4 linked regions of the Anolis sagrei genome follow. The protein of the gene in region 4 interacts with the protein of the main gene of each other region in a pairwise test. Links are inferred from orthologs where the notes say so. Each region holds a gene or a part of one and is shown on either strand. Other genes may lie near its edges.

Region 1 (8,258 bases), on a different chromosome or scaffold from region 4:
AGAGAGTTCCACAGTATGGGAGCAGCCAACAAGAAGGCTCTTCCTGTGTTCTCCTTATAAGTTTGTATGTTGGTGGGACAAAAAAAAAAGCCTTCAACTACAACAATTGGTGGCATTCTGTTTCTGATCCCAAAAAGCTTCTCCTGCCTTTCTCAGCAATGCCTCCCTGCTTTCTTATCCTACCATCTTGTTAACTTTCCTTCTAAATGTGTATCTACACTGTAGAATTAATGCAATTTGACACTACTTTAACTGGCATGGCTTCATGTAATCATGGAATTTGTAGTTGGAAGGCGCCAGCACATTTTGTCAGAGAAGGATTAAGACCTTTTAACATTACAACTCCCACGATTCCATAGCACTGAGTGATATCAAACTGCACTAAATCTACACTGTAGGTGCATCCTTAGAGGTGTTCACACAATTCCCTTCAAACATAGAAGATGAGAGAGGGTTGTGTCGAATAGCACCAGCCTCCTGCTGCCAATGCACATGCTAGCACCGTCCACATCTAATCTGCACATCTGGCACATACAAGGAGAGGTCTCTATATGTTAGAGTTCCTTCAAGTACGAGGAGATCAGGATGAGCCCAAGGCATTTCCTTATCTGAAGCAAACAATGTTCATTCCAAATTAAGATGGTAGTACTTGAGAAATTATGTTGGTAATTAACTCAGGCAAAAAAATCTCATGCCGTTTTTGATAACAAATACAATAAAAGAAACAATTATGTTCTGACAACCTGGCACAGACTTGGGTGCAAGATCCTGTCCCACTCTATGGAGTCTAGCCCAGAAGCTTTCACGTACATCATGTGATACAGAGGTTGCTGGGGGTGAAAAATGGACCTCAGAGCACTTGCAATGCCTAACAATGTTTTTGAGTCTTTTGGAATAGCGTTTTTCAGGCCAAAAGAGGAGAATTGCTGCTTCTGAAAGAGTTCAGGTACAACAGTTTACCTTCCAAACAGGTTACAAGGCACAGTAGAAAACAAAGACATAGCTGTGTTAATCTGGATTGGGTTGCTGTGAGTTTTCCAGGCTGTATGGCCAGGTTCCAGAAGCATTCTCTCCTGATGTTTCGCCCACATCTATGGCAGGCATCCTCAGAGGTCTGCTGGAAACTAGGCAAGTGAGGTATATATGTCTGTGAAATGTCCAGGATGGGAGAAAGAACTCTTGTCTGCTTGAGGCAAGTGTGAATGTTGCAATTGACCATATTTATTAGCATTTAATAGCCTTGCAGCTTCAAAACCTGGCTGGTTGCTGCCTGGGGATCCTTTGTTGGGAGGTGTTAGCTGGCCCTGATTGTTTCATGTCAGAAATTCCCCTGTTGTTTGAGATCATGAAAGCTTTCAACAACACATTAATCTGGACTATTAGTATTCCAGAGCAATACAGCTATGTGTTAGTTTTTTGTTATGTGATGAACATAACATATGTAGCTTTCCTGTCAATCTTGTCACATTTGCCTGACAAAAAAGGATTTCTCACTTGGGAACTTCCATTTCACAACTATGTGAGTGTGAGATTTTGAAACTTTGAAAATGTCAGGAAGGATAGAAAGAGATGCCCAGTTGCATAGTATGCCTCTCTGGAAAACATACTTTCTGGCACCCTTAAGCAAATGTATATATATGTATTTGGAAACATACATATATATTGAAATTCTTGGGCAGAGTGTGTAACTGGACCTCACAGATGCAGCTTGTTCATTCTGGCTTGCTGCCTACAATACAGACAATTAGGGCTGTGTATGCCACTGTTTACAGTCCTCCTATCGAGCAGCACACTACATTGCAATCCTATAAACAGGTTTTTAATCCTTTTTTGTGCGTGTTGCCAAATTCTGCTCCGTGATTATCTAACCTGCAAAACCCATAAACTCCTTTCCCTGCTACAAAGTAAAATGTAGTAACAAGCAATTTAATCAATAGTTGTAAAATTCAAAGAAGGACATTTGTAGTACAGATTGAGTATCCCTTATTCCAAATGCATGGAACCAGAAATGTTTTGGATTTTTTTGGGGGGGGGGGTGACAGACATGTATTTGCACATATCATCATTTGCACATATCATCTTAAAGAAAGAATATACATTTTATATATATCTTATACCCAAAGGTAATTTTATACACATACATTAGCGTACATAGCCACTGTTGCCCAGGTGTAGGAGGAGCTGGTGCCCCCTTGCTTTCATTCCTTTCCCTCCTCTCATAACTTTCCCACTTTTCTTTCGCTTCCTTCCTTCCCTCCTTTTCCTTTCTTCTCCCTCCCTCCCCCCTTCTCCTCTCTCTCTCTCTCTCTCTCCTCCCTTTGGTTCTCCTTCTCCAGCCTACCTCACAATGCTCCAGTGGCGACACAGCTGTCTTTATGGCTCCTTCCTTTCTTCCTCGCTGCCCCTCATATATGTCACCTTTCTTTCCCAGTGACATAACAAAGAGCCACTGAATTATCACTGAGCAACAGACCCTTCATACACGTTACCTTTCTTTCCCAGTGACATCCATGAGAGCCACCTAACTCAGCCAATCCAGTGATATCACAGAGGGCCACTTCACCTAGCAATGGCCTTTGTGGTACAAACAGACAAACATCCACATGTTGACTTTCATATATACAGTAGATAGATATTTTTAATAGCTTTGCTCATGAAACAAAGTGCATGTATGCTGAACCGTTAGAAAGCAAAGGTGTCACTATCTCAGCCCATCTCTGTGGACAAATTCAGATTTGGGAGAATTTGGGAATTTGGAATCCCAAATAAAGTGTGCGCAACCTGTAATAGCTAATACTGTATATTACTCCTTATCATTACAGAGCATGATCGGAAAATGGTGGAAGCATTTTCAGAAATCCATTCAGGATGCTCCTGGGAGCTCAATGGTTCAGTGGAGCCCAGAACTGAAAAACAATACTATAAAGCAGGCCTGGGCCAACTTGGGCCCTCCAGGTGTTTTGGACTCTAACTTCCGCCATTCCTAATAGCCTCAGGCCCCTTCCTTTCCCCCCTCAGCCGCTTAAATGGCTGAGGGGGAAAAAGAAAGGGCCTGAGGCTGTTAGCAATGGTGGGAGTTGGAGTCCAAAACACCTGAAGGGCTCAAGTTTGCTCATGCCTGCTATAAAGGAAATGTTACATTCCCTTGTATTTGTGTCACTCTTCTTTTGTGAATAAATATCAAAACAGAATAACATATTTTTGAGGTAATAAAAAAACACTTTTGATCCAGATGTACAAAAACACATCTTTTCTTGTGCTTCCAGTGGTCACTAAACGAATAAACAAATCCACACAAAGCAGGATGAAGTAAGCGAAATGTGGACTGCCACCAGCACACTGCCACACACTTTTGGGAAGACTGGATTTTGCTGGGTTTGCTAAAACAGGAGGCAACTTTATGTCAGTATATTTCCAGCCTCTGAGCAGGAATTTATCACTCACATCATCTGTAGTTACCTAACACACTGACTTCTGAAGTAATGTTATTGTGCCTTTAGGTGTTGCATTGTGCAGAAGTTTTCATCAGTGGCAATATAATTGGACAGCGTTTTCATCAGTTTCATAATTGGACAGCGTCACTCAATCAAAAGTGATTTGAGAACCAATTTATAAGAACATTAACATAAAGTAAAGGTAAAGGTTTCCTCTGACATTAAGTCTAGTTGTGTCCAACTCTGGGGGGTGGTGCTGATCTCCATTTCTAAGCTGAAGAGCTGGCACTGTCCGTAGACAACTCCAAGGTCATGAGGCCAGCATGACTGCATGGAGCGCCATTACAATCCTGAAAGTCAAAAATGTTCCACATTGGTGGTCCATTTTGCAGAACATGTCTTTCTTCTCTGTACAGGTTGCGAATCCCTCCTCTAAAATGCTTGGCATCAGAAGTGTTTTGGATTTTGGAATATCTGAATATACATATTCATGGAGATTGCATTCAAGTCTAAATCTGAAATTCATTTTTACTTGATTAAATAACTTATAATATTATTTCAGGAAAAATGTGGAGTGGGTGGAGGGAGGAGGGGTGGGAGTGAGAGGGTAGGGGAGGTGAAGAAGAGAGGGAATATATGTGTGTGTGTGTGTGTATATATATATATATATATTAAATTAAATTCATTTATTGTTTAAGTGCCTCGCGTTTCTGTTCTATATGCCTCACAAAGAATGCTGTGCTGGAAACAAAGTTTGCAAACATGGAACCATCAGGAAGCAAAGGTGTTGCTGTCTCAGGATGCATCTACACTATAGAAATAATGCAGTTTGACACCGCTTTAACTATCATGGCTCAAGGCGATGGAGTCATGAGAGGTGTTGTTTAACACAGTCTTTGGCTTTTCCTGCCAAAGAGCGCTTGGTGCCTCACTAAATCCCAGGATTCCATAGTATTGGGACATGGCAGTTAAAAGTGGTACCAAACTGCATTAATTTGACAGTGTAGATCAGGCATGGGCAAACTTGGGCCCTCCAGGTGTTTTGGACTCCAAGTCCAAGTTGTGGGACTTGGAGTCCAAAACACCTGGAGGGCCCAAGTTTGCCCACGCCTGGTGTAGACACATCCTAGAGCAGGCATGGGCAAACTTGGGCCTTCCAGGTATTTTGAACTTCAACTTCCACAATTCCTAACAGTGGCTGTTAGGAATTGTGGGAGTTGAAGTCCAAAACATGCCTGCTCTAGAGGAACATTTAAGGCATGTCTGAAGCGCTCTTCCTCCAAATCAACTTCTTCCGACGAAGCCTCGCAGGAATCAACAAGGCGCAAAACCTGCTGAGTCATGCTTACTCTGGAGGCGCGTGCCGGGATGTGTGTACGAGTGTGCGCGCGGGCGGGGCGAGGGAGGGAGGGAGGCAGGGAGCGAAGAGCGCGAGATCCTCAAGGAGAGCCTCGCGCCCGTCCCTTAGCGAGCCTCCATTTCTCCCCCCTCCCTCCCACCGAGCGGAGGGCGTGGCTTCCCTTAATCTCGGATTGTGACGCAGCTCGGGGCTATATATAGAGACGACGTCAAGGTGGCCGGGCCAGAACGCTCTGCGCGACCTAGCTGAGGAGGTTCCCGCTTCAACAGTGATTGGACGGAACCCACTCCCGCTCGGCCGCCGCCCGCTCGCTGCCTTCCTTTATCTATCTATATCCATCAATCGATCCATCCGCTCGCCTTTGTGCTGCCATGGCCTCGTCTCCTTCCCAGGTGCGCCAGAACTACCACCAGGACTGCGAAGCCGCCATCAACCGGCAGATCAACCTGGAGCTTTACGCTTCCTACGTGTACCTCAGCATGGTGAGCCCTGGGAAGGAGAGGGGCGCGTGCGTGTGCGCGTGCGGTGGGCAGGCCTCGAGAGAGAGAGAGCGGGAGAGCGCGCGCAATGGAGCGCTGGAGGGCCAAGGTCCTGCCGCCTCTTCCTCGGGTGCCGCGCATGCGCCTGGCGTGCCCTTGGGAGGCGCCTTCCCTCCTGGACTTCGCCCCGTCCTCTCCAGGAGGGATGGGAGTAAACAGCCACGGCTCCCAAAGAAATCTCGCCTTCTACTGCCTTTGAGGCCCGGATGGGGATGACACAAACCACTGATACGCATTAAGAGCGTTCTTTCGCATTATTTTGTGCGCGTTAAATGGTCAGTGTAGATAGGGCTTAGTCTAGCTGTGGATTCCCCCCATTCACATCCTTGAAGTTCTCCTGAGATAATAGTATGTCGAGGGTCTTAATAGCCAACCTGCAGAGTGTTTGGAAGAGAATAAAGTACACCTACAATGTGAAATTAATGCAGTTTACCGCCGCTTTTAATTACCATACCTTGTGCTATGGAATCCTGGGATTTGTAGTTTCCCAAGGGTTCTTAGCCTTCTCTGGCAAAGGGAAATTTGTCTCACCAAACTATCTCTCCCGGGATCCCATATCATTGAGCCATGGCAATTAAAGTAATGTTGAACAGCATTTATTGTACAGGTCAGATGCACCTTATGGAAGAACCCTGCCTTGCAATCAGTTTCCCCTCTCCCATTAGGATGGGTTAGGCAGCCACAATCCAGCTGCTCTCTCCAGAGATTTTTCCTGGTTGCTTTTTTGTGGCCAAATGCTGCAATGCAAAGAGGAACTGTCTTGTGATGAGCTTGCTTACTTCTCGAGTATTGCAAGATAACTGCGCCACTGGCACACTGCTTGCTGTTGAGTCTTTTTATTCCACTGGACTGTTTTGAGGTAACTGAAGAGTGGGGAGGGCCCCCTGGTGGCACAGCAGTTGAACTGCTGAGCTGAACTTGCTGACCAAAAGGTTGGCGGTTTGAATTGGGGGAGCGGGTTGAGGTCCAGCTGTTAGGCCCAGCTTCTGCCAACCTAGCAGTTTGAAAACATGCAAATGAGTAGAACGATAGATACCGCTTCTGTTGGAAGGTAATGGCACTCCATGCACTCATGCTGGCCACATGACCTTGGAGGTTTCTATGAACAACACCAGCTCTTCAGCTTAGAAATGGAGATGAGCATTCCCCCCCCTCCCCCTGCGGGGTCGGCCATGACTAGACTTAATGTCAGGTGAAACTTTTACCTTTACTAAAGCATGGGGAGGGAGAGTGTTTACACTTTTGTGGTGGGGACCTTGATAAGAATTGATATTGGCTCCTGTTTGCCATTTGCCGGCGCCTGTTTGTTTGCAGAAGCCCCAGTTCTTATCTCTCCAATAAAGAGTGATTGTACTTTAATTGACTTTGGACCTTTTCTCTGGAACATTTGTTTGCATTTGTTGCATTTGTTGACCGCCGTTCTCAGCCCTAGGGCGACTCATATAGCTTTCATATAGCTTGGTTGTTTTGAACACAGCTAAAGCCATTTCCCCAAGTTACTGTTAACTTATATGGTGTGTGGTTGTAAACCTATCAGCATAAATGTGGCAAACATATTTTGGCAGATGTATGTTAAAATGTATTTTTCCAAACACTGGAAGAGCTTACTGATCGAATCCACATATACTCATAAATTAGTTGACCATATGTGGAGAGAGGAAAATGCCAGCAGGGCTAGACGTTCCTGGCCAACTGCGGCCCCCATTTTCCCTTCAAAAAGGCCCTAAATTATACTATGGCTGAGAGAATAGAGGGGATCAATAGTTCCTTTAGGTTTTCCCAGGATAGACAAATAAATGCCCTTTTCCACTCTATTCAGAAAAGAGGATGTTTCCATTTCTTGCTTTTGATAAAGCTTTAAAGTATAATACTTTGACTCATGGATGGTGACCCAGATTTTTTTTTTGGGTTGACTTCTGAATAAATTTTCTAGACTCACATATGATTAAATGCAGTACTTGGAACTCAGTAGCTTTAAAAATGAATTTATTGACACTGGCTGTCAAGGGGTAGTCCAGCTCTTGTTGCTCTGGAGTTCTTTGTGATGTAACATTCACTGGAATACAGATTTCAATTTATGACTAATAGTCAAGGGGAATTGTAAGTGATATAACATACACTTATCTCAAAACCGTTTGTCTGGCAGATGGTTTCTAAAATGGAATGTGCTTCTCCAGCTCTCTTCAACCTGTTTTTGTGGCCTAAACTGTACATTTCACAGAGGTAGCAAGACTGATTAGAGCAGGGATGGAAAACTTTGGCCCTCCAGGTGTTTTAGACTTCAACTCCCAGAAATCCCAACCAGTTTACTGGCTGTTAGGAATTGTGGGAGTTGAAGTCCAAAACACATGGAGGACTGAAATTTCCCTGTGCCTGGATTAGAGGTTCAAAAACTCATCGAAGTAATGTAACAATTTGATACTTAAAATGAGTATTCAGAAATGTTTGATCGCTTGACTGTTGGCAATTTCTTTCCAAGCCAAAAATATCAGTATTGACTACCCTAACTTGCTGAGCTCTTAGAATTATTAAATCCCCTTTTTCTGTTTAAAGGGCAAACTCTCACCTTAGAGGCAAAGCAAGTTACCTTGTTCTCCCTGTTCTGAAGTGATTTTCAGAACTTACTTTCTAGGGGATCTACCAAAAGAAAAAATGACAATTAGACTTGTAACTTTGGTTCATCTAAAGGAGCACTGGGCAAAGTTGAAAGTTCCAGATATCTTTGGACTGCAGCAGTAATCATTCCTTACCATTTGTGGCACGGGTTGTTCTTAGTTCAAATCTATCAGTTTGTCCTCTTTTCCAAAGTCATAGTTCTGTATTTTGCATTAGAAAAAGATCATAGCAAGACCTAACACAGCCAGTTTGACAGGCTTGTTGTGCAGCAGTTGTATGAGACAGCAAATGGTAAGAAAATATATGACC
Region 2 (7,455 bases), on a different chromosome or scaffold from region 4:
TAGACACCTCCAAGGTCATGTGGCCAGCATGACTACATGGAGCACCGTTACCTTCCTGCCAGAGCAGTACCTATTGATCTACTCACATTTGCATGTTTTCGAACTGCTAGGTTGGCAGAAGCTGGGGCTGACAGCGGAAGCTCACACCGCTCCCCGGATTTGAACCTGCGACCTTTCAGTCAACAAGCTTAGCAGTTCAGTGGTTTAACCCAATGCGCCACCGGGGTCTCCTTATATTATTATTTCTGCCTTGATATTCTGGGATACAGGGCTGTGTGGAAGTGCCCTCAGATATTCAAGTTCAAAGCAGATATTGTGGGTTATTCTGCCTTGGTTATATAGCTGTGTGGAAGAGCCCCGAGTTATCTTGTGCGCCAGCTGCGCCCGTACCTTGGGAAGTCAGACTTGGCCACGGTGGTCCACGCTCTCATTACCTCTAGGATAGACTACTGCAATGCAGTCTATGTGGGGTTGCCTTTGAAGACTGCTTGGAAGCTTCAAATAGTCCAAGAAGAGGCAGCCAGGTTAATAACTAGGGTGGCATACAGGGAGCACACAACTCGCATGTTATGCCACCTCCACTGGCTGCCAGTTTGCTACCGGGCACAATTCATAGTGCTGGCTTTGGCCTATAAAGCCCTAAACGGCCCCGGCCCAAATTACCTGTCCGAACACATCTTCCCCTATGAACCATCATGGAGATTAAGATCTTCTGAGGAGGCCCTGCTTTCTGTCCCGCCACTGTCACAGGCACAATTGGTGGGGACGAGAAACAGGGTCTTCTTGGTGATTGCTCCCCTGCTATGGAGGGTCACCCCCATCCTCCTGTCCTTTAGAAGGATGGTAAAAACTTGACTGTGGGACCAAGCTTTCAGGACAGGGCAATGAAGCGGCAGTGGAAAAGATAACAGGGCCAATTGGATTTGATGCGGATGGCTAGGACAGTTTTAAATGATGTATTTTAATGTATTTTTTTATGTTTATGTATTGTATGTGAATTTGTGTCCCGGCATTGAATGTTTGCCGTGTATGTGCTGTGCTCTGCCCTGAGAAGGGCGGAATATAAATGCTTTAAATACATAAATAAATAAATATCTGGGTCCACAATGCCATATAACTCATTTCAAAGCAGATAATGTGGGATTTTACACAGCTGTGTGGAAGGGGCCTTCGATGCTGAGCAAATTCAATGCAATCACTGTTTGGTGAAAACACAAACTTTGACCGGAATCGGTGAAGGCCCTGTGTAATAAAACATGTGGAAAAGTTGGGGTGTTCGGAGCAAATTTACCTGCAAGACATCAGATTTATCAACCAGGGCCCTTCCACAAAGCCCTATATCCCTGAATATCAAGGCAGGAAATCCCACAATATCTGCTTTGAACTGGGTTATCAGATAATGTGGGATTTCCTGCCTTTATATTCTGGGATTTAGGGCTGTGTGGAAGGGCCCTCAGTAAGTATGAGGGCAAAAACAGTGGCAAAACACTAGCAAAAAGTAGTGTAACTGCTAATGCTCAATACTGTGGGACAATGAGAAGAATCAAGATGCATCTACAGCCAGGCATGGGCAAACTTCGGCCCTCCTCCAGGTGTTTTGGACTTCAACTCCCACAATTCCTAACAGCCTACCGGCTGTTAGGAATTGTGGGAGTTGAAGTCCAAAACACCTGGAGGAGGGCCGAAGTTTGCCCATGCCTGGCTGTAGATGCAAGCTTTAGGAAGACTCACAGCCACAACTGGTTGCCTCCAAGGCTCCAGCACTGGAGATCAGACCTTTCCCTGCAGAGCCCCCTTATGTGTGGCCCCCCAAAGCCCCTTCCCTTACCTGTGCTGCAGCCCCACCAGCCCCAGCGTGATCACATGCGGCACGTCCAGCTCGGTGGGCCAGACCCCGGCGGCGAGGCATCCGAAGACCCCGCACTCCTCCCCGATGCCCAGCTCCTCAAACTCCATGGTGCGTCGCACACGTGTCGCGGCCGCCCCTGTTGTTGTCGCTCCTGGCGCGGCGCTTGTGGCCGCTTGGGCTTGTGGGCGAGGACCGAGCCTGCTCCTTTTTTCCCGCCCCTCGGCGCCTCATTTGCATACAGGCCTGATTTGCATAGAGAGAGGGCGCGCACTAGTCTCGCGGCTGCTCCTAAGTTGAGAGTCCTGCCCCTTTTTTCTGCTTTAGGACTCCATCACCTCCCTCGTGTGTATGTGTGATTTGGTCTCATGGCAACAAAAAAGTTAGCCCCCCCCCCTCCTGTGAGGAAGTCGCCCCTCCCCAGTCCCCGCCTCCCCTCTTTTAGGGTTCCCTTGGTATTTCCTGCTTTTCCGAGCTGAAACTTGATTTTCCCTCTCTGACTTTGATTGGGGATAAGAAAGAAGAGTTGTTTACTTTTGCTTCCTGAGGGAATCCTTCCTGGAAAAAGAGAGAAATAGAGGGAGGGGGAAAGAGAGAGGAGGGAGGGAAGGGACGGTAAAAGAAGGAAGGAAGGAGAGGGGAAAGAAGAAAGGAAATAGGGAGAGGGAAGGAGGGGGAATGAGGGAGGAGAAGACATGAAAGAAGGAAGGAGAGGGGAAAGAGGAGGAAAGAAGAAAGGAAACGGGGAAAGAGGGGAGGGAGGGAAGGAGAGGGAATGAGGGCTAAGACAGAAGGAGGGAGGAAATAAGCAAGAGAAAGGGAGAAGGGAAGAGAGAGAAAGGGGGAAAGAAAGGAAAAGGAGAGAAAAAGAGGGAGGAAAGGGGGAAAGAGAACGAGAGGAAAGATGACAGGGAAAATGAGAGAAAGAGCAGGGAGGGGAAGAAAGAAAAAGGGGGAAAGAGGAGGAAAAGAAGACTGGGAAAATAAAGAGAAGGGAAGAGAGAAAGGAGAGGAAAGAAGAGAGGAAATATGGGCAAAGGAGAAGGTGAAAGATGAGGAAAGACACAAGGAGGGAAAGAAAGGAGAGAAAGGGGGAAAGAAAGGAAAAGGAGGGAAAGAGAGGGGGAAAGAAGAATTAAAGGCAGAAGGGAGGAAAAGGAGACAGGAAAATGAAGGGAAGGGAAGCGAGAAAGTGGGAAAGAAGAGAGGGAAAGAAGGGAAAGAGAGAGGAGCGAAGGAGAGGGTGAAAGGGGAAGAAAGACACAAGGAAGGAGGGGAAGAGAGAAAAGGGGAAGAGGAAAAGGGAGGAGGGAAGGAGAGGAAAAAGACAGAAAAGGAAGAAGGGAAAGAAGAAAGGGAAAGGAGCGAAGGAGAAAGATGTGGAAAGACACAAGGAAGGAGGGAAAGAAGGGAGAGAAAGGGGGAGAGAAAGGAAAAGGAGGAAAAGAGAGGAAGTAGAGGGGGAAAGAGAAGGAAAAGACAGGGAAAGAGGAGGGAAGGGAAGAGAGATTGAGGGAGAAGGAAGTAAAGAGGGGGAAAGAAGAATTAAAGGCAGAAGGGAGAGACAGAAGACAGGGAAAATGAAGGGAAGGGAAGACAGAAAGAGGGGAAGAAGAGAGGGGAAGAGGAGGGAAGGGAAAAGAGAATGAGGGAGAAGAAAGGAAGGAGAGGGGGAAAGAAGAGTTAAAGGCAGAAGGGAGTGAAAGAAGACAAGGAAAATGAAGGGAAGGGAAGAGAGGAAAAGGAAGGAAAGAAGAAAGGGGAAAGAGAAGGAGGGAGGGAAAGAGAGAAAGGGGATGAGGAAAAGGGAGGAGGGAAGGAGAGGGAAAAGACAGAAAAGGAAGAAGGTAAAGGAGCGAAGGAGAAGGGGAAAGAGGGGGGAAAGACAAAAAAGGAGGGAGGGAAAGTAAAAAGGGAAAAGGAGGGAAGGAGTGGGGAAAGTCGGAGGAAAAATAGGGAGGGGAAAGAGAGAGAAGGAGGGGTGAAAGGGAAGGAGAGAAGAAAGGGAGGGGGTAAGGAAGAGGGAGAAAGGGTGAAGTTTGCGAGGACTTGGGGGCGCTGGAATAGAAGCGGGAGTTGTTGAGAGTGCAACTTCGCCATGGCCCGCGGGGCTTTGGGGCGGGAAAGAGGCGGGCGAGGGGTGTCCGCCAGAACTGGCCTCAGATTGGAGGGAATGCTTGGGGGAAATTGGGCTGCGAGGGGGCGTGTGCGCGCGCCATTGAGTGTGTGTATTCTGTGGCGCAAGCCCTGTTTGCGGGGCTGCCATTGGCGCGTTCGGGGCGCGCTCCCCGCCCCTCATTGGCCGCCCCCTTCCGCCGCCCGCCCTTCTTACGCCGCCCCGCCAGCGCGCGCCCTCTCTCTCCTCCTCGGACTTGCTCCTCCGCGGACGGCTCTCGCGAGCAAACTTTTCCTCCTTCTCCTCCTCCTTCCTCTTCTCCTTCTTCCTCTTGTGCTAACTTCTCTTTGCCTTTGACTCCTAGGCGCCTCGGGCTCCTGCTGCAGCAGCCATGGCTCCCATCCGCCCTACAGGTGAGTGAGTGCCTTCTTGTCCTCCCCCCAAAGAAGGCCTCCTGAATGCCCCACAACAAAGGAGTCTTTTAACCCCTAGAATTCCTGACTATTGGGCAAGCTGGCTAGGGCTTCTGGGAGTTGGAGGCCACATGCTGAGTCCTCCAGGTGTTTGGGACTCCAGCTCCCAGAAGCCTCCTCTGCTTTGGTGAGTATACTTTCCCCAGGTTTCCTAAACCTAAGATGCTGCAAAATCCAAAATGGATGGCTGAGACCCTGTCTGCACTGTCTATTTAACGCAGTTCAAAGTTAGTTTCAGAGTGTGGCCTTTAGGCAACAAACACCCACAAAAGTGCATAAAAGAAAGATCTTAATGGCTTCAAACTACAAGAAAGGAGATTCCATCTGAACATTAGGAAGAACTTCCTGACTGTGAGAGCTGTTCAGCAGTGGAACTCTCTGCGGCAGAGTGATGGAGGCTCCTTCTTTGGTAGCTTTTAAACAGAGGCTGGATGGCTATCTGACAGGGGTGCAGACAGGTAGAGGGTGCCCTCGGTGGCACAGTGGGTTAAACCCCTGTGCCAGCAGGACTGAAGACAATAGTTCGCAGGTTCGAATCCGGGGAGAGGCGGATGAGCTCCCTCTACCAGCTCCAGCTCCTCATGCGAGGATGTGAAAGAAGCCTCCCACAAGGATCATAATACATTAAAAATCATCCGGGCGCCCCCTGGGCAACGTCCTTGCTGACGGCCAATTCTCTCACACCAGAAGCGACTTGCAGTTTCTCAGGTTGCTCCTGACATGACCAAAAAAAAAAGGGGGGTGCTTTGAATGCAATTCTCCAGATTCTTGGCTGAATGGGCTTGGACTGGATGGCCCATGAGGTCTCTTCCAATTCTATGATTCTAATGTACATCAGTGGTTTGTGTAAATAGCGTCTGAATCTCAAACTGGTTCCAGGTGATCACCTGCCCAGTGAAACCACTTTTCTTCGGCCCTTTCCACACAGCTCTATAAAAGCCACATTGAACTGGGTTATATGGCCATGTGGACTCAGATAATCTACATCAAAGCAGATATTGTGAATTCTCTGCCTTGATATTCTGGGTTAAATGGCTGTGTGGAAGGACCCTTAAACATCATTTTGAAACAGCCTGAAATAGCGACACCTCTGGAATGCTGTGAGTGTTTCAGGCTGTATGGCCATGCTCCAGTAGCATTCTCTCCTGACATTTCACCTGTATCTGTGGCAAGCATCCTCAGAGATTTGTTCGAAGGTCTGTGGGAATGAGGCAAGTGGGGTGTGTGTAGAATGTCCAGGGTGGGAGAAAGAACTCTTGTCTGTTTGATGCAAGTGTGAATTTTGCAATTGGCCACCTTGATTAGCTGGTGAGTAGCTTTGCAGCTGCAAAGTCTGGCTGTTGCTGCCTGGGGACATCCTTTGCTTTGGAGGTGTTAACTGACACTTGATTGTTGGCTGTCTGGAATTCCAGATTGGTAATACCGGTTGGACCCTGGTGGCACAGTAGATTAAAGTGCTGAGCTGCTGAGCTTGTTGACCGAAAGGTCGCTGGTTCAAATCCGGGGAGCAGCGTGAGCTTCCGCTGTCAGCCCCAGCTTCTGCCAACCTAGCAGTTCGAAAACATGCAAATGTGAGTAGATCAATAGGTACTGCTCTGGTGGGAAGGTAAAGGCACTCCATGCAGTCATTCAGGTCACATGACCTTGGAGGTGTCTATGGACAACGTTGGCTCTTCGGCTTAGAAATAGAGATGAGCACCACACCCCAGAGTTGGACACGACTGGACTTCATGTCAGGGGAAAACCTTTACCTTAAAACTGATTACGGGTATTTAAAAACATCAGAATCAAGGCAGTAAGAAAGGGACACCTCTCAGAAACAGAAGGATGCCTGCCATAGATGCAGGTGAAATGTCAGGAGAGAATACTACTGTAACATGGCCATACAGCCCAAAAACTCACAGCAACCCAGTGATTCTGGCTATGAAAGCCTTTGACAACACAGTGACATCTCTGCTTTCTGATGACTCAGTGGATGCAAAGGAATTCTGGGAACTGATGTCCAAAACACCTGGAAGACCAAGCCTGTTCAAGACCTCAGCCATCTAGATGTGCTCTTTCCCAGGCTGATTTCAGAAAGTAGACCGAACCTATCTAAACCTTAACAGAATGATTCTATAATTCGGGTTTGCCAAGGTGTTGTTACATGAAATTTCTTTGCAGGCTCAATTTCCTGATAGGGTTTAGTCTTACAATATATCCAAGCAAATTACATGAACTGTCTTTATTAAGCTCAGATGTTGGAAGCTAAGTAGGATCAGCCCTAGTAAGGACTTGGCTGGGAGCCCACCAACAAATGCCAGGTTCTGAAGGCTATATTTCAAAGGAAGGGACTGTTAAACCACCTCTGGGGATTCCTTGCCTAAGGAAAACCCTATGGACTTGTCATAAGGTGACTTGCAGAACTGGATGGTGGAAAATTCTGATGATACAAAGTAACAGGCTCTACAAAGCCATGAGGCTATAACGGTTTTGATGTTGTCTGTAATCTTTTTGAGTTCCTACAAGAAAAAAATTAATAATTTTTTCCCCATGTCTTCCCCAAGTTTGGAGAAGATACTGTTTTGAAGCACACATCCCAAAATCCCTTAGCCAAGATGGCCAGTGACCATGCTAATGGGGATGTTGAGAATCAAGGAGTTATGATTTAAAGCTGTACCAGTCCCCTTCACACACACACAAACATTCTGATGAAATATAGACTGCAAATAATGCCAGGTACAGAGGAAGGATCCAATACAGCCAACTCTATGTAAAAAAAAAAAAACAAACCTATGAAATTAATGGTTTTTCCATAAATTGACAAGCAGTTTGACGTCAGTGGGTTAAAGCGCTGTGCTGCTGAACTTGTTAACTGAAAGGTCGCAGGTTCAAATCTGGGGAGCGGTGGGAGCTCCCAGTGTCAGCCCCAACTTCTGCCAAACTAGCAGTTCGAAAACATGCAAATATGAGTAGATCAATAGGTGGGGTGGTAACAGTGCACCGTGCAGTCATGCTAGCCACATGACCTTGGAGGTGTC
Region 3 (7,609 bases), about 47 Mb from region 4:
GGGGCTGGAAAGAGAGTACTTTCCATGACAAAAAATGTTCTTATTTACTTGAGGTTATATATTGGTGGTAAAAACCCAAGGAGAGGCGGCAGTCACTGCGTATGCTGTCAGGCTGTCCGTCTTCTTCATGAAGAAACTAAAATAAAACCTTGTTCTTTGATCTTTTTTTGGGACTGTCTCCTTCCTTTCGTGCTCCCGTGATGTGGACCTAAGAAGACCCAATTTAGGGTCTCTAAGAGGTGAACTAACATCCCAGCAACTACAACTCCCAAATGACAAAATCAACCCCCCCCCCCAACCCCACCAGTATTCAAATTTGGGCATATTGGGTATTTGTGCCAAATTTGGTCCAGTGAATGAAAATACATCCTGCATATCAGGTATTACATTACGATTCGTAAAATGAGCAAAATTATAGTTATGAAGTAGCAACGAAAATAATGTTGTGGCTGGGGGTCACCACAACATGAGGAACTGTATGAAGGCATTGTGGCATTAGGAAGGTTGAGAAACACTGTTATAGAGTCTATCAGCAGGTGTAGGTTTACGACACCCTGTGATTATTCTACATGTTTTGTTCAGTGCTATATTCACCTGCTTCGCGTTGACAGAGTTGTGCCAAACAGGGCAGCTGAATAAGACAGAGCCAGGGATGATATAAGTTTCTGCAGGATGTACTGTGTGTAACTACTTTGTGCTTGGTGTTCGCAGTGTTTTCCTTTATCCCAGATCAGGGGTCTTCAAACTTTTAAAACCGAGGGCCAGGTCACAGTCCCTCAAACTGTTGGAGGGCCGGATTATAATTTGAAAAAAGCATGAATGAATTCCCATGCACACTGCACATATCTTATTTTTAGCGCAAAAAATACTTTAAAAATACAATAATTAAAATGAAGAACAATTGTAACAAATATAAACTTATTAGTATTTCAATGGGAAGTGTGGGCCCGCTTTTGGCTGATGAGATAGGATTGTTAGTATTATTGCTGTGTGCTTTCAAGTCAGTTCAGCTTTAGGATGACCCTGAGCGAGGGCCGGGTAAATTACCTTGGAGAGCCATATCCGGCCCTCAGACCTTAGTTTGAAGACCCCTCCCAGATTATCTGGCAGTGCGGACTGACATAATCCAGTTTAAAGCAGAAAACCTGGCATCAGATCCTGGGATATAGGGCCCGCCTGGAAGCGCCATATATTCCAGCTCAAAGCAGATAATTTATTTTCTGGTCCCAATTCAAGGTGCAAGTTCTTACCTACAAAGCCCTGAACGGTTTGGGACCCGCCTACTTCCATGACCGCATTTCTGTATATGAACCCATACGATCTCTTCAATCATCTGGAGAGGCCCTGCACTTGCTCCTGCCCCCTTCGCAGGCGCGATTGGTGGGGACGAGGGAGAGGGCCTTCTCGGTGGTGGCCCCCCGACTCTGGAACTCACTTCCCAAGGACATCAGGCATGCCCCATCATTGGCAGTCTTTAGGAGGAGCCTGAAAACGTGGCTGTTCCAGTGTGCCTTCCCAGAAAAGAAAATTCCCAGCAATATGTCCTCAGAATGCACTTTACTACTGGTTTAGGATTGACTGCGCTCCCTCATCTCTTTTAGAACCCAATATATCCTCCCTCGTTCATGCCCAGCATTTATTTTTTAAATTTTTAAACTATTACATTTGGCCCGGCCACAGGTTTTTAAATCCTTGTGTGTTACTGTTTATTGGTTATTGTTTATATGTGACTAGCCGTCCCCTGCCACACATTGCTGTGGCCCACATGGGGTTCTGTGTGGGAGGTTTGGCACAATTCTATCGTTGGTGGGGTTCACAATGCTCTGATGGTAGGTGAACTATAAATCCCAGCAACTACAACTTCCAAATGTCAAGATTATATTTTCTCCAAACCCCACCGGTGTTCACATTTGGGCATATTTAGTCTTTGTATAGTGTTTGGTCCAGATCCATCATTGTTTGAGTCTACAGTGATCTCTGGATGTAGATGAACTACAACTCCCAAACTCAAGGTCAATACCCACCAAACCCTTCCTGTATTTTCTGTCGGTCATGGGAGTTCTGTGTGCCAATTTTTGTTCAATTCCATCGTTGGTGGGATTCAGAATGCTCTTTGATTGTAAGTGAACTATAAATCCCAGCAACTACAACTCCCAAATGACAAAATCAATTTTTTGAGTGAAGGACATACATTGGGTTGTTAGGTGTCTTGTGTCCAAATTTGGTGTCAAGTCCCCCAGTGGGTTTTGAGTTCTGTTAATCCCACAAACAAACATCACATTTTTATTTATATAGATTTATTATATTAATTGTATTGTACTTATTGTTTTTTGTTTATTGCTTTTTGTTTTTATTGATGTGTTGTTGAGCTTGGCCTCATGTAAGCTGCTCCAAGTCCCTTGGGGAGATGATGGCGGGGTATAAATAAAGTTTATATTATTATTATTGTATTGTTGAAGGCTTTCATGGCCGGAATCACTGGGTTGTTGTAGATTATTATTTTTTTTTGGGTTATATAGCCATGGTCTAGAGCAGGGGTCCTCAAACTAAGGCCCAAGGGCCGGATGCAGCCCTCCAAGGTCATTTACCTGGCCCTTGCTCAGGGTCAACCTAAGTTGATGTGAGGGCAATCTGGCTGCGACATCTGTCACCCCATTGATCGCCAGGATTGATTTGGCTGATCTGGCTGCCTAGGCGGGTGCCCCCTTCCTCCCTCACCGCTCCAAAGTCATTTACCCGGCCCTCGCTCAGGGTCAACCTAAGTCTGAAACGTTTGAAAGCACACAACAACAACAACAACAACAACAACAATCCTATCTAATCAGCCAAAAGCAGGCCCACACTTCCCACTGAAATACTAATAAGTTTATGTATGTTAAAATTGTTCTTCATTTCAATTCTTGTATTGTTTTAAGCGTTTTTTGCACTACAAATAAGATATGTGCAGTGTGCATAGGAATTCATTCATGCTTTTTTCAAATTATAATCTGACCCTCCAACAGTTTGAGGGACTGTGACCTGACCCTCTGTTTAAAAAGTTTGAGGACCCCTCCTCTAGAAGCATTATCTCCTGATGTTTCTGTGTACCATGCAGCTGTGGACAAGTCTACATAGGGACCACCAAACGCAGCATTCCCCAAACACGAATCAAGGAATATGAAAGGCACTGAAGACTACTCCAACCTGAGAATTCAGCCATAGCAGAGCACCTGATGAACCAACCTGGACACAGCATTTTATTTGAGAACACAGAAATGCTGGATCACTCCAACAACCACCATGTCAGACTACACAGAGAAGCCATTGAAATCCACAAGCATGTGGACAATTTCAACAGAAAGGAGGAAACCATGAAAATGAACAAAATCTGGCTACCAATATTTAAAAAAACTCTAAAATTGCAACAGCACAACAACAGAGAGGAAACAAACAAGGACATATAATCACCTCTCAACAAAAGTTTGCTCCAGGCACTGTCTGCCCATTATTATTATTATTATTATTATTAACTTTATTTGTACCTTGCTAGCATCTCCCGAAGGACTCGAAGCGGTTTACAAAGGCCAAGGCCTCAAAACACAACATAACAATACAAAACCTAAGCAATTTAAAAACAATTAAAGCAATATTAAACAACAAGCAATAAAGAATACACCAAGACACAATAAAACTGGGCCGGGCCAGAGTAATGGGTACAGAATTAAAAAGTGCTGGTGTGACAGGTGATATGTAAGGATTATAGGGTAAGTGCAGTGTGCAGCAATCTTAATTCTAATAAAGTGTTTCTGGGACTTGTTATTGGAGTTTTCCTATTCTGGAAAGGCTAATCAAGGTGGTCAGTTGAAACATTCACACCTAGCTCCAGCAGACAAGACTCCTTTGTCCCACCCTGGTCATTCCACAGATATATAAACCCATTTCCTAGTTCCAACAGACCTCACTACCTCTGAGGATGCTTGCCATAGATGCAGGCGAAACGTCAGGACAAAATGCCTCCAGATCATGGCCATATAGTCCGAAAAAACCTACAACAACCCATTATTATTATTATTATTATTATTATTAAGCTGTTTGGACAGGGCCTTTGTTGAATTGGTTGAAACTCTATGAGACATTCATTGAAAAACTACAAGATGTGCTGCAGGATGTCCGACAAAAACAAAATTTTGACAGTTTAATAAACTATTTCCATATTTTTATGATAGAACCAATTAGGAAATGACATTTATAACCCAGGGACAAAAATCGTTGGAGATACTTTATAGATCCTTCAGAGTCACCTTCAGACACCAACCACATGCCAAATGGTATCGGAAACTCGCAAACAATGTTTCAGTCTTTCCTTTCTGTTTCTATGTGCTCCGGCTTCGTTTCTCCAGAGGCCCCGCCCACACAATCGGAAGTGGCTTGGCTGCCCCTTCAGCGCACGCGCCTTCTAAAGGAAGAGGGGCGGACGACAAAAGGCATCGTGCGAATCACGTTGGCCGGCTAGGCGTTCGGTGATTGGTCCAGGCGGGGTGGCTAAGAAGGAGGGGGAGGGGGGAGGTTATGCCGTCACATCCGGCAGTGGCGAAGCCGGTGGTTTCCTTGGGTGGTCGCGCGCGCGCGGGACAGCAAGAGACGGCTCTGGTTCGGGAAACCGGCTCCCCCGCCCCGCCATGGCCTCCCTCCTCAAGGTGGACCCGGAAGTGAAGATCAAGGTACGAGAGAAAGGGAAGAGCCGCTTCCGCCACGGGCGGGCCGTGTCCTTAAGCATGTGCAGAGCGCCGGGAGGCGGCTGGGCGTTCCCCAGCCAGGCTGCGGCTGACGAATAGGGCCAGGACGAGTTGGATGCTGCATGGAGCTGAGGCACCTTCTGCACAGTTGAATAAAACCCTACTTTTATCTGCTTTGAACTGGGATATGTGGCAGTGTGGACTCAGATAATCCACTTCAAAGCAGATATTCTGGGATATATATATAGTTGTGTGGAAGGGCCCTGAGCTAATAGTTCCTCTCGCTGAGCAGCCTGTGGAATCCCTTTTGATCTGATGAACTGTGGTTTAGGGATATTATTATGATGCTCTTTTGGTGCATCTGCACTGCAGAGTGAATGCAGTTTGACACCACTTTAACTCTCCTGCCTCAATGCTATGGAGTTGTAGTTTAACAAGGCCTTCTCTGGTCCCTTCTACACTGCCATATAACCCAGATTATCAAAGCAGATAATCCACATTATCTGCTTTAAACTGGTTCATATAATAATAATAATTTTTTGTCGTGTCAGGAGCGACTTGAGAAACTATTAAGACGCTTCTGGTGTGAGAGAATTGGCCTTCTGCAAGGACGTTGCCCAGGGGACGCCCGGATGATTTGATGTTTTTACCATCTTTGTGGGAGGCTTCTCTCATGTCCCCGAATGAGGAGCTGGAGCTTATAGAGGGAGCTCACCCACCTCTCTCCGGATTCGAACCTGCGACCTGTTGGTCTTCAGTCCTGCCAGCACAGGGGATTAACCTACTGCGCCACCGAGGGCTCCATAATAATAATAATAATACATTATTTATACCCCACCACCATCTCCCCAAGGGGACTCGGGGCAGCTTACATGAGGCCAAGCCCAACCAAAATACATCAGTAAAAACAACAAAGCAAACAAGCAAGTAAAACACAATACAAATATTATAAATAACATATAAGCAGTAACACACAAATTTAAAAACACAGTGGATTAAACATTTTACAACACTGGACGTGAATAGAATGAGGGTATGTCTAAACGGGGGATTTAGAGGATAATGTAGGGAGATCAATCCAACGGATAGTTAAAGTGCTTCAGAGGACATATTGCAGAAAATTAGTTAGATCAGGGCATTATTTCCTTTATTCAGGGAAGGCACACTAGAACAGCCACTTTTTCAAGCTCCTCCTAAAGCACTGGCTCTCAACCTTTCTATTGCCACGACCCCTTAATAGAGTTCCTCATGTTGGGGTGACCCCCAACTATCAAATCATTTTCATTGCTACTTCATAACTGCCTTTTTGCGACAGATATCAGTTGTAATGCAAATATCTGATGTATTTTCATTTACTGGAACCAATTTGGCACAAATACTCAGTACACCCAAGTTTGAATACTGGTGAGGTTGGGGGGGGGGGATTGATTTTGTCATTTGGGAGTTGTAGTTGCTGGGATTTATAGTTCACCTACAATCAAAGAGCCTTCTGAACTCCACCAATGGTGGAATTGAACCAAACTTGGCACACAGCACTCCCATGACCAACAGAAAATGCTGGAGGTTTTGGTGGGCATTGACCTTGAGTTTGGGAGTTGTGGTTCATCTCCATCCAGAGAGCACTGTGGACTCAAACAATGATGGATCTGGACCAAACTTGACACAGATACTTAATATGCCCAAATGTGGACACTGGTGGAGTTTGGGGAAGAGAAACATTGACACTTGTGAGTTGTAGTTACTGGGATGTATAGTTCACCTATAATCAGAGAGCATTCTGAACCCCACCAATGACAGAATTGGGCCAAATTTCCCACACAGAAACCCCATGACCAACAGAAAATACTGTGTTTTCTGATGTTCTTTGGTGACCCCTCTGACACCTCCTCACGACCCCTCCAGGGGTCCCAACCTCCAGGTTGAGAAACACTGCTCTAAGGACTGCCAATGTAGGGGCTTGTCTGATATCCTTGGAAAGCGACTTCCAGAGTCAGGGGGCCACCATAGAGAAGGCCCTCTCCCTCATCCCCACCAGTCGTACCTGCGAAGGGGGTGGGAGCGAGAGCAGGGCCTCTCCAGATGAGATCAATCCAACAGGTAGATAAAGTGCTTCAGAGGACATATTGCAGAAAATTAGTTAGATCAGGGCATTGTTTCCTTTAGTCAGGGAAGGCACACTGGAACAGCCACTTTTTCAAGCTCCTCCTAAAGACTGCCAGTGTAGGGGCTTGTCTGATATCCTTGGAAAGTGAGTTCCAGAGTCGGGGGGGGGGGGGCACCATAGAGAAGGCCCTCTCCCTCATCTCCACCAGTCACAACTGTGAAGAGGGTGGAAGCGAGAGCATGGCCTCTCCAGATGATCGAAGAGATCGCATGGGTTCGTAAACAAATGCGGTCACGCAGGTAGGCGGGTCCCAAACCGTTCAGGGCTTTGTAGGTGAGAACATGCTCCTTGAATTGGGACTGGGAACGTGAATGGCAGCCAATGGAGCTCCTTAAAACAGGGGGTTGACCGCTCCCTGTAAGTCTCTCCAGTTAGTAATCTGGCTGCTGCCCGTTGGACCAGTCAAAATTTCCGAGCTGTCTTCAAGGGCAGCCCCACGTAGAGTGCATTGCAGTAAACCAATCTGGAGGTGACTAAGGCGTGGACCACCATGGCCAGATCATATGAGTCTACACTGCCATCCAATCCAGTTCAAAGCATATAATCTGGATTTTATATGGCAGTGTAGAAGGGGCCTTACTGTTTGAATTAAGGGGGCAGATTTTACCTCAAGGTTTTCCTATTGTTGTGTTCCCGGGTGCAGGTAGAGGAGTGTTTCTAAACTGTAGAATTGATGCAGTATGACACCACTTTAATTGCCATGATTCAAGGTTATGGAATCCAGAAATGT
Region 4 (7,736 bases):
AGGGAACTGGGCCATTTGTGAAGTGGTCATTAATCACAAGAATTTGCTCTTGGTTTCAGCCAAAATAATTACATGAAAACGGCTTAATTGTTGTTTAATGTGAGGCGCTCCATGCAGTTAGACTGGCCGCATGACCTTGGAGGTGTCTACGGACAACGCTGGCTCTTTGGCTTAGAAATAGAGATGAGCACCACAGTCCCAGAGTCAGACACAACTGGACTTAATTTCAGGGGACAACTTTTACCTTTACTATGAGGTTATAATGAGCCGCCTCTGTCATGGCACAGTCAACCGGCGGCCATTTTGTCTACCTCAGTCAGCCAACTTGATGTCAAATTGCCTGAAAGGAACTGGGCCGTTTATGAAATGATCATAACTAATATATATGTTTTAAAATCACAAGAATTTGCTCTTGGATTCAGCCAAAATAATGACAAAAAATGTCTTCATAGTGACTTAATACGAGGTAATAGTGACTTAATATGAGGTAATGGTGGCCATTTTGTCTCCTTCTGTCAGCCATCTTGATTTCACACTTCCTGAGGGGAACTGGACTGTTTATGAAATGGCCCAAAACTAATATTTTTAAAAGAAAGAATCCCCCCACTGCCTCTTGATTTCACCCAGAATAAAGATTCTAGACATGATGGCTTATTGGTAGCGAAATGAGAGGTAATAATGAGCCGTCTTTGACATGGTGCAGCCAACCAGTGGCCATTTTGTCTCCCTCAGTCAGCCATCTTGATGTCAAACAGCCTGAGGGAACTTGAACCATTTACGAAAGGCCATAGCTGGTATTTTTTAGTATCAAACGAAGCACAACTTCGGTCTTTTCCACAATTCTGTTGTCGTTTAATTATTGCGAGGTAAATATGAGCCGTCTTTGACATGGAACATCCAACTGGCGGCCATTTTGTCTCCCTCAGTCATCCATCTTGATGTCAAACCGTCTGAGGGAATTTGAACCATTTACAAAAGGCCATAGCTGGTATTTTTTAGTATCAAACGAAGCACAACTTCGGTCTTTTCCACAATTCTGTTGTCGTTTAATTATTGCAGGGTAATAATGAGCCGTCTTTGACATGGAACAGCCAACTGGCAGCCATTTTGTCTCCCTCAGTCATCCATCTTGATGTCAAACCGTCTGAGGAAATTTGAACCATTTACGAAAGGCCATAGCTGGTATTTTTTAGTATCAAACAAAGCACAACTTCGGTCTTTCCCACAATTCTGCTTCTTGTTGTCTTTTAATTTGAGAGCCTTTTAAAATGGTTTCTCTGTGTGTTGAGTCCTCGTCAAATGCTTCTTGTGTTCCAAAATGAAAGTCAATTAGAATGCACTAAATGTTGATGTTCAGCCTGAACACTCTGAAAGAAAACAGGAGTGAGAATGGATGTATCTGCACTGCACAGTTGTACCAGTTTTGTGACAGTTAGAGACCCTAAATTGGGTCTTCTTAGGTCCACGTCGCGGGAGCATGAAAGGAAGGAGACATTCCCAATGAAAGATAAAAAAAAACCAAGGTTTTATTTTTGATTTCTTCATGAAGAAGACGGACAGCCAGGCAACATGCGCAAATGTTACCCTTCAAGTGACTGCCGTCCCCCTTGGCTTTTGACCACCAAATATATAACCTCAAGTAAACAAGAACAATTTTTTGTCATGGAAAGTAGTCTCTTTCCAGCCCCCTCTCTTGACCTTTTGATGGAAAGTACCTACTTATACATGCGGCCTCTGCGCTTCAAAAACAACCTTTGAAGTTAACCACAACGCATCCTATCACATCTTGTTTCTTAAAAACATTTTATTCCATACTGCTATTTTTCTACAGAGAAGGGTTTGTCTCTCTTAATTTCATTCAAAGCCCCTTACTTAATTTCACTCAGAGACCCTTGAAGCCTCCTTCAACACCTTTAACTGTCATGGCCCCACATTTCTGTGGAATCCTGGGAATTATAGTTTTATGAAGAAGTTGGTGTTTCTGGTGCTGGAGTTCCAGATATACAAATCCCATAGGTTAATGTGGCATAAAACTGAGGTGCAGATGTCCTCTCATGAGAAATAGACATTTTGATTCTAATTGTAAATAAATTATGTGTGTTTTTAAATAAATAAATAAACATAAGAAGGAAGTGGGTACCAAAACACCCTATTTTTTTGCTTCTATTAAATTTGGGTTCTATTAAATTTAGAATTCAAATTCAGCCCAGGCGGGACTCGAACCCGCAACTCTAAAGGAAGAAGCCCCGCCCCCTTTTGGCGGATAATAAGGGAAAGTGAAGCAAGGAGAGGCGGGCTGGCGTCTTTGATTGGTCCATTCAATAAAGTAGGCGGGGTCACAACCAGAGGAATCCTGGCCCCGCCCCCAATCCTCAGGGGAGGCCACTTGTTTCTCCTCATAAATAACCGCCTTAGCAATTCAGACCGACTGGCCAATCAAGACCGAGCAAGGCCCGATTTGTGGGCGGGGCTTTTCATGCCATTAGTGCTTTCAATGACGGGGGCGGGGCTCCTCCAAAATTACGACCCTTTGAGGATGGAAAAAAAGAGGGCGGGGCGTCCAGAAGCCCTATGGGAGGGGCTGAAAGAAGTCGAGTCAGGATTGGTTGCAAAGGAGCCAGGAGTACTTTCACCATTGGTCGGTCCCCCTTCTGCGCCTGCGCCTTTAAGAGCGGGGTGGGGGTAAAAAAAAAAAAAACCTCGACTATGATTGGCATGTTGGAAGAAGGCGTTCCTATTGGTTGTTAGCGGGGGAGAGAGAAGGGGAGGAGACACAAGGGAGTGGGAGGAGCCTAAATAAGGGCAAGCCCCGCCTCTTTGGCAGATTCAGTGCCTCTCATTGGCTCACATCGCCTAGAAAGACCTGTGATTGACATGATGGGGGAAGGCATCTCTATTGGTTGTTAGCGTTGGAGAGAGAGAGGGCGTGAGGAGAAACAAGGGAGTGGGAGGAGCCTAAATAAGGGCAAGCCCCGCCTCTTTGGCAGATTCAGTGCCTCTCATTGGCTCACATCGCCTAGAAAGAACTGTGATTGACATGATGGGGGAAGGCATCTCTATTGGTTGTTAGCGGGGGAGAGAGAGAGGGCGTGAGGAGAAACAAGGGAGTGGGAGGAGCCTAAATAAGGGAAAGCCCCGCCTCTTTGGCGGAATGAGCGCCTCCCATTGGCTCACATTTCCTAGAGAGAACCATGATTGACATGCTGGAGGACGGCGTCCCTATTGGTTGTATGGGTACGTGAGGAGAAACAAGGGAGTGGGAGGAGCTGAAATTATGGCAAGCCCCGCCTCTTTGATGATTGACATGTTGGAGGACGGCTTCCCTATTGGTTCTTTGCGTGCGTGAGGAGAAACAAGGGAGTGGGAGGAGCTGAAATAAGGGTAAGCCCCGCCTCCTTGGCGGAATCAGTGCCTCTCATTGGCTCACATTTCCTAGAGAGAACTGTGATTGACACTTTGGAGGCCGGCGTTCCTATTGGTTGTATGGGTACGTGAGAAGAAACAAGGGAGTGGGAGGAGCTGAAATAAGGCTAAGCCCCGCCTCCTTGGCGGAATGAGCGCCTCTCGTTGGTTTATATTTCCTATGATTGACATGTTGGAGGACGGCGTCCCTATTGGTTGTATGCGTGCGTGAGGAGAAACAAGGGAATGGGAGGAGCTGAAATAAGGCTAAGCCCCGCCTCCTTGGCGGAATGAGCGCCTCTTATTGGCTCACATTTCCTAGAGAGAACTATGATTGACATGTTGGAGGAAGGCTTCTCTATTGGTTGTTAGCGGGGGAGAAAGAGGAGGCGTGAAGAGAAACAAGGGAGTGGGAGGAGTCTAAGAAAGGGTAAGCCCCGCCTCTTTGATGATTGACATGTTGGAGGACGGCGTCCCTATTGGTTGTATGGGTACGTGAGGAGAAACAAGGGAGTGGGAGGAGCTGAAACAAGGCTAAGCCCCGCCTCCTTGGCGGAATGAGCGTCTCTCATTGGCTCACATTTCCTATGATTGACATGTTGGAGGACGGCGTCCCTATTGGTTGTATGAGAAGAAACAAGGGAGTGGGAGGAGCTGAAATAAGGCTAAGCCCCACTTCCTTGGCAGAATGAGCGCCTCTCATTGGCTCACATTTCCTATGATTGACATGTTGGAGGACGGCTTCCCTATTGGTTGTATGAGAAGAAACAAGGGAGTGGGAGGAGCTGAAACAAGGCTAAGCCCCGCCTCCTTCGCGGAATGACTGCCTCTCATTGGCTCACGCTGACGAGAAAGGGGGCGGGGCCGAATGGAGTAGGCGTGGCCTGAAGGGGGAAAAAGAAGGCAAGCGTCTTCCGGCTCGACGCATGCGCGGACGGAGGGGCGGGGCCATGCATGCGCATTCTCAAGCTGGCTCTGTGAGGGGAGGACGGACTCTCCGGCTGGCGGAGGCGAGGGAAGGGAGGCGGCAGGCCAGAGTGGGGGAGGCTCCGGCCTGAAGGCACCGGTCACGGTGGCGGACCCGGGGGAGGAAGCCGGGCCTCGCCCTCCGGCCCCAATCCCCCCGCCTTCCCCCTTGGCGGCCTCTTCCTCCCCGGCGTCGCCTTCGGGCCCCATGGAGGGCCTCTCCGTGGAAGTGCGCGGCTCCAACGGGGCCTTCTATAAGGTGAGTAGGCCGCAGAGCGTTGCCAAGGAGACGGGGCATGGGCGGGGCCCCCGCGGTTGCCATGGAGATGCGGCCTAGCCTCCCAACTCTCTCCAACTCCCAGGAGGCCTAGGCCCCTCGAGGATTCTGGGAGTTGGAGTCCAGGGCTTTGGGTGGAAAGGTCACAAACATACCTCTGAGGAGTTCAAAGGAGGCAGGGAGGCTTGTTGGGGAAGAAAGGGACCTCGAAGGCTTTGTAGGCCTCAAGCTGAATGGGAATCAAGCTATAGATTGCATCAAAGGAGGCATGGGCAAATTTGGGCCCACCCTCCAGGTGTTTTGTGACTTCAACCCCCACAATTCCTGGCCTCAAACCCTTTCCTTTTCCCCCTGGCCTCACTCCAGGTGTTTTGGGACTTCAACTCCCACCATTCCTGGCCTCAAACCCTTTCCTTTCCCCCCTGGCCTCCCTCCAGGTGTTTTGGGACTTCAACTCCCACCATTCCTGGCCTCAAACCCTTTCCTTTCCCCCTGGCCTCCCTCCAGGTGTTTTGGGACTTCAACTCCCACAAATCCTGGCCTCAAACCCTTTCCTTTCCCCCCTGGCCTCCCTCCAGGTGTTTTGGGACTTCAACTCCCACAATTCCTGGCCTCAGGCCCTTTCCTTTTCCCCCTGGCCTCCCTCCAGGTGTTTTGGGACTTCAACTCCCACCATTCCTGGCCTCAAACCCTTTCCTTTCCCCCTGGCCTCCCTCCAGGTGTTTTGGGACTTCAATTCCCACAATTCTTGGCCTCAAACCCTTTCCTTTCCCCCCTGGCCTCCCTCCAGGTGTTTTGGGACTTCAACTCCCACCATTCCTGGCCTCAAACCCTTTCCTTTTCCCCCTGGCCTCCCTTCAGGTGTTTTGGGACTTCAACTCCCACAATTTCTATCCTCAGGCCCTTTCCTTTCCCCTCTGGCCTCCCTCCAGATGTTTTGGGACTTCAACTCCCACAATTCCTGGCCTCAGGCCCTTTCCTTTTCTCCCTGGCCTCCCTCCAGGTGTTTTGGGAAAAGGAAGGGGCCTGAAGCCAGGAATTGTGGGAGTTGAAGTCCCAAAACACTTGGAGGGAGGCCCCAAGTTTGCCCATGCCTGATTAAGAGGAAACAAGAGAACAAGGCCTAGCAATCCCACTCTTTTGCTTGGGATAACACCGTTCTGGGCAAAACAATTCAAAGAGACGGACTTTTAAGTTGGAAGATGGCCAGGGTGTTTTGGACTTCAACTCCCACAATTCCTTACAGCCAATAGGCTGAATTATGGGAGTTGAAGTCAAAGGCTGTTCGGAATTATAGGAGTTGAAGTTCAAAACACCTAGAAGTTCCAAAGTTTACCTATAGAATCATAAAATCAAAGAGTTGGAAGAGACCTCCTGGGCCATCCAGTCCAACCCCATTCTGCCAAGAAGCAGGAATATTGCATTCAAATCACCCCTGACAGATGGCCATCCAGCCTCTGTTTAAAAGCTTCCAAGGAAGGAGCTTCCACCACACTCCGGGGCAGAGAGTTCCACTGCTGAACGGCTCTCACAGTCAGGAAGTTCTTCCTCATGTTCAGATGGAATCTCCTCTCTTGTAGTTTGAAGCCATTGTTCTGCGTCCTAGTCTCCAGGGAAGCAGAAAACAAGCTTGCTCCCTCCTCCCTGTGGCTTCCTCTCAAATATTTATACATGGCTATCATGTCTCCTCTCAGCCTTCTCTTCTTCAGGCTAAACGTGCCCAGCTCCTTAAGCCGCTCCTCATAGGGCTTGTTCTCCAGACCCTTGATCATTTTAGTCGCCCTCCTCTGGACACATTCCAGCTTGTCAATATCTCTCTTGAATTGTGGTGCCCAGAATTGGAGACAATATTCCAGGTGTGGTCTAACCAGAGCAGAATAGAGGGGTAGCATGACTTCCCTGGACCTAGACACCATGCTCCTATTAATGCAGGCCAAAATCCCATTGGCTTAAATCAGGCATCCTCAAACTATGGCCCGGGGGCCTGGATATGGCCCCCCAAGGTAATTTACCCGGCCCTCACCCAGGGTCAACCTAAGTCTGAAACGACTTGAAAGTGCCCGTTCTACAAGGATATCCATGCCAGACTTATCTTACCTCTGTTATACAAGCACCCACGCCGTTCAGGACAATTTTATACCTCCATGCTACTTGCAGATATTAATTCAGCTACAACCTACAATGTTGCAAAGCATACAAAATCCATCAGGGATTTTTTTTTTTTGGTCGTGTCAGGAGTGTCCTGTTGTGAGAGAATTGGCCGTCTGCAAGGACGTTAGTCCCAAATGTTAACTGTGTGTCCAGTAATCTTCTTCTTTGAATCTACAATTTGGTGATGGATCTGGGCATTGCATGTTTTTACCCTGTTTCCCCTTCTTTTCCGCTCCCTCACCCATATTGTGCTTCAGTAGTTATATTTATATTTTTAATGTACCAAACATACCAAGTTTGTATGAAAATGTGACTCTTATTTCCTGTGCTAGTCAGTGACCGAAATAAATGATTTGATTTGACTTGAAAGCACGCAACAACAACTATCCTATCTCATCAGCCAAAAGCAGGCCCACACTTCGCATTGAAATACTAATAAGATTATATTTGTTAAAATTGTTCTTCATTTTAATTATTGTATTGTTTTAAAATGATTTTTGCACTACAAATAAGATATGTGCAGTGTGCATAGGAATTCAAATTACTTTTTTTTTTCAAATTATAATCCGGCCCTCCAACAGTTTGAAGGACTGTGACCTGGTCCTCTGCTTTAAAAGTTTGAGGACCCCTGACTTAAATGATCTGTAACATTCAGAAACTGGCCAGACCATGCCCTAAAGTGGAATATTGAAGCCTGCCCAGCATTTGTCCGATGCAACAGACCTTTGAGTTTCAAAAAAACTTCCCACTTGAGATTGCATTCTGTGGATTCGAAATACAGCACCAGAGGGAGGGCTGAAGTTTGGTCCTTCTCCACCTCAGTTGAAGGAAAAGAGAGCACGTGAATCCGGAAAATTAGAATAAATTAGCAGTAGGAGGTCATAGAATCCTAGAGTTGGAAGAGACCCTAAAGGCCATCCAGTCCAACTTATTTTTTCTA

Evidence for each region.
Region 1: the proteins of FXR2 (region 4) and FTH1 interact in binary tests that used the Homo sapiens proteins (3 or more experiments, as listed by UniProt). The link is inferred for Anolis sagrei from reciprocal best matches to the Homo sapiens genes FXR2 and FTH1.
Region 2: the proteins of FXR2 (region 4) and multifunctional protein ADE2 interact in binary tests that used the Homo sapiens proteins (3 or more experiments, as listed by UniProt). The link is inferred for Anolis sagrei from reciprocal best matches to the Homo sapiens genes FXR2 and PAICS.
Region 3: the proteins of FXR2 (region 4) and PSME3 interact in a two-hybrid assay, tested with the Homo sapiens proteins (2 studies listed by BioGRID and IntAct). The link is inferred for Anolis sagrei from reciprocal best matches to the Homo sapiens genes FXR2 and PSME3.

Annotation. Positions count from the first base shown.
Region 1 is NC_090021.1:237,529,792-237,538,049, reverse strand, and holds the start of FTH1 (ferritin heavy chain), read left to right. Parts: upstream 1-5,000; 5' UTR 5,001-5,165; coding exon 5,166-5,276; intron 5,277-8,258. UniProt on the Homo sapiens protein: Stores iron in a soluble, non-toxic, readily available form. Important for iron homeostasis. Has ferroxidase activity. Iron is taken up in the ferrous form and deposited as ferric hydroxides after oxidation. Also plays a role in delivery of iron to cells.
Region 2 is NC_090025.1:73,077,103-73,084,557, reverse strand, and holds the start of multifunctional protein ADE2, read left to right. Parts: upstream 1-4,185; 5' UTR 4,186-4,353; coding exon 4,354-4,375; intron 4,376-7,455. Other genes in the region: PPAT (amidophosphoribosyltransferase), read right to left, coding at 1,829-1,956. UniProt on the Homo sapiens protein: Bifunctional phosphoribosylaminoimidazole carboxylase and phosphoribosylaminoimidazole succinocarboxamide synthetase catalyzing two reactions of the de novo purine biosynthetic pathway.
Region 3 is NC_090026.1:50,212,944-50,220,552, reverse strand, and holds the start of PSME3 (proteasome activator complex subunit 3), read left to right. Parts: upstream 1-4,450; 5' UTR 4,451-4,658; coding exon 4,659-4,700; intron 4,701-7,609. UniProt on the Homo sapiens protein: Subunit of the 11S REG-gamma (also called PA28-gamma) proteasome regulator, a doughnut-shaped homoheptamer which associates with the proteasome. 11S REG-gamma activates the trypsin-like catalytic subunit of the proteasome but inhibits the chymotrypsin-like and postglutamyl-preferring (PGPH) subunits.
Region 4 is NC_090026.1:3,122,905-3,130,640, forward strand, and holds the start of FXR2 (RNA-binding protein FXR2), read left to right. Parts: upstream 1-4,324; 5' UTR 4,325-4,576; coding exon 4,577-4,627; intron 4,628-7,736. UniProt on the Homo sapiens protein: mRNA-binding protein that acts as a regulator of mRNAs translation and/or stability, and which is required for adult hippocampal neurogenesis. Specifically binds to AU-rich elements (AREs) in the 3'-UTR of target mRNAs.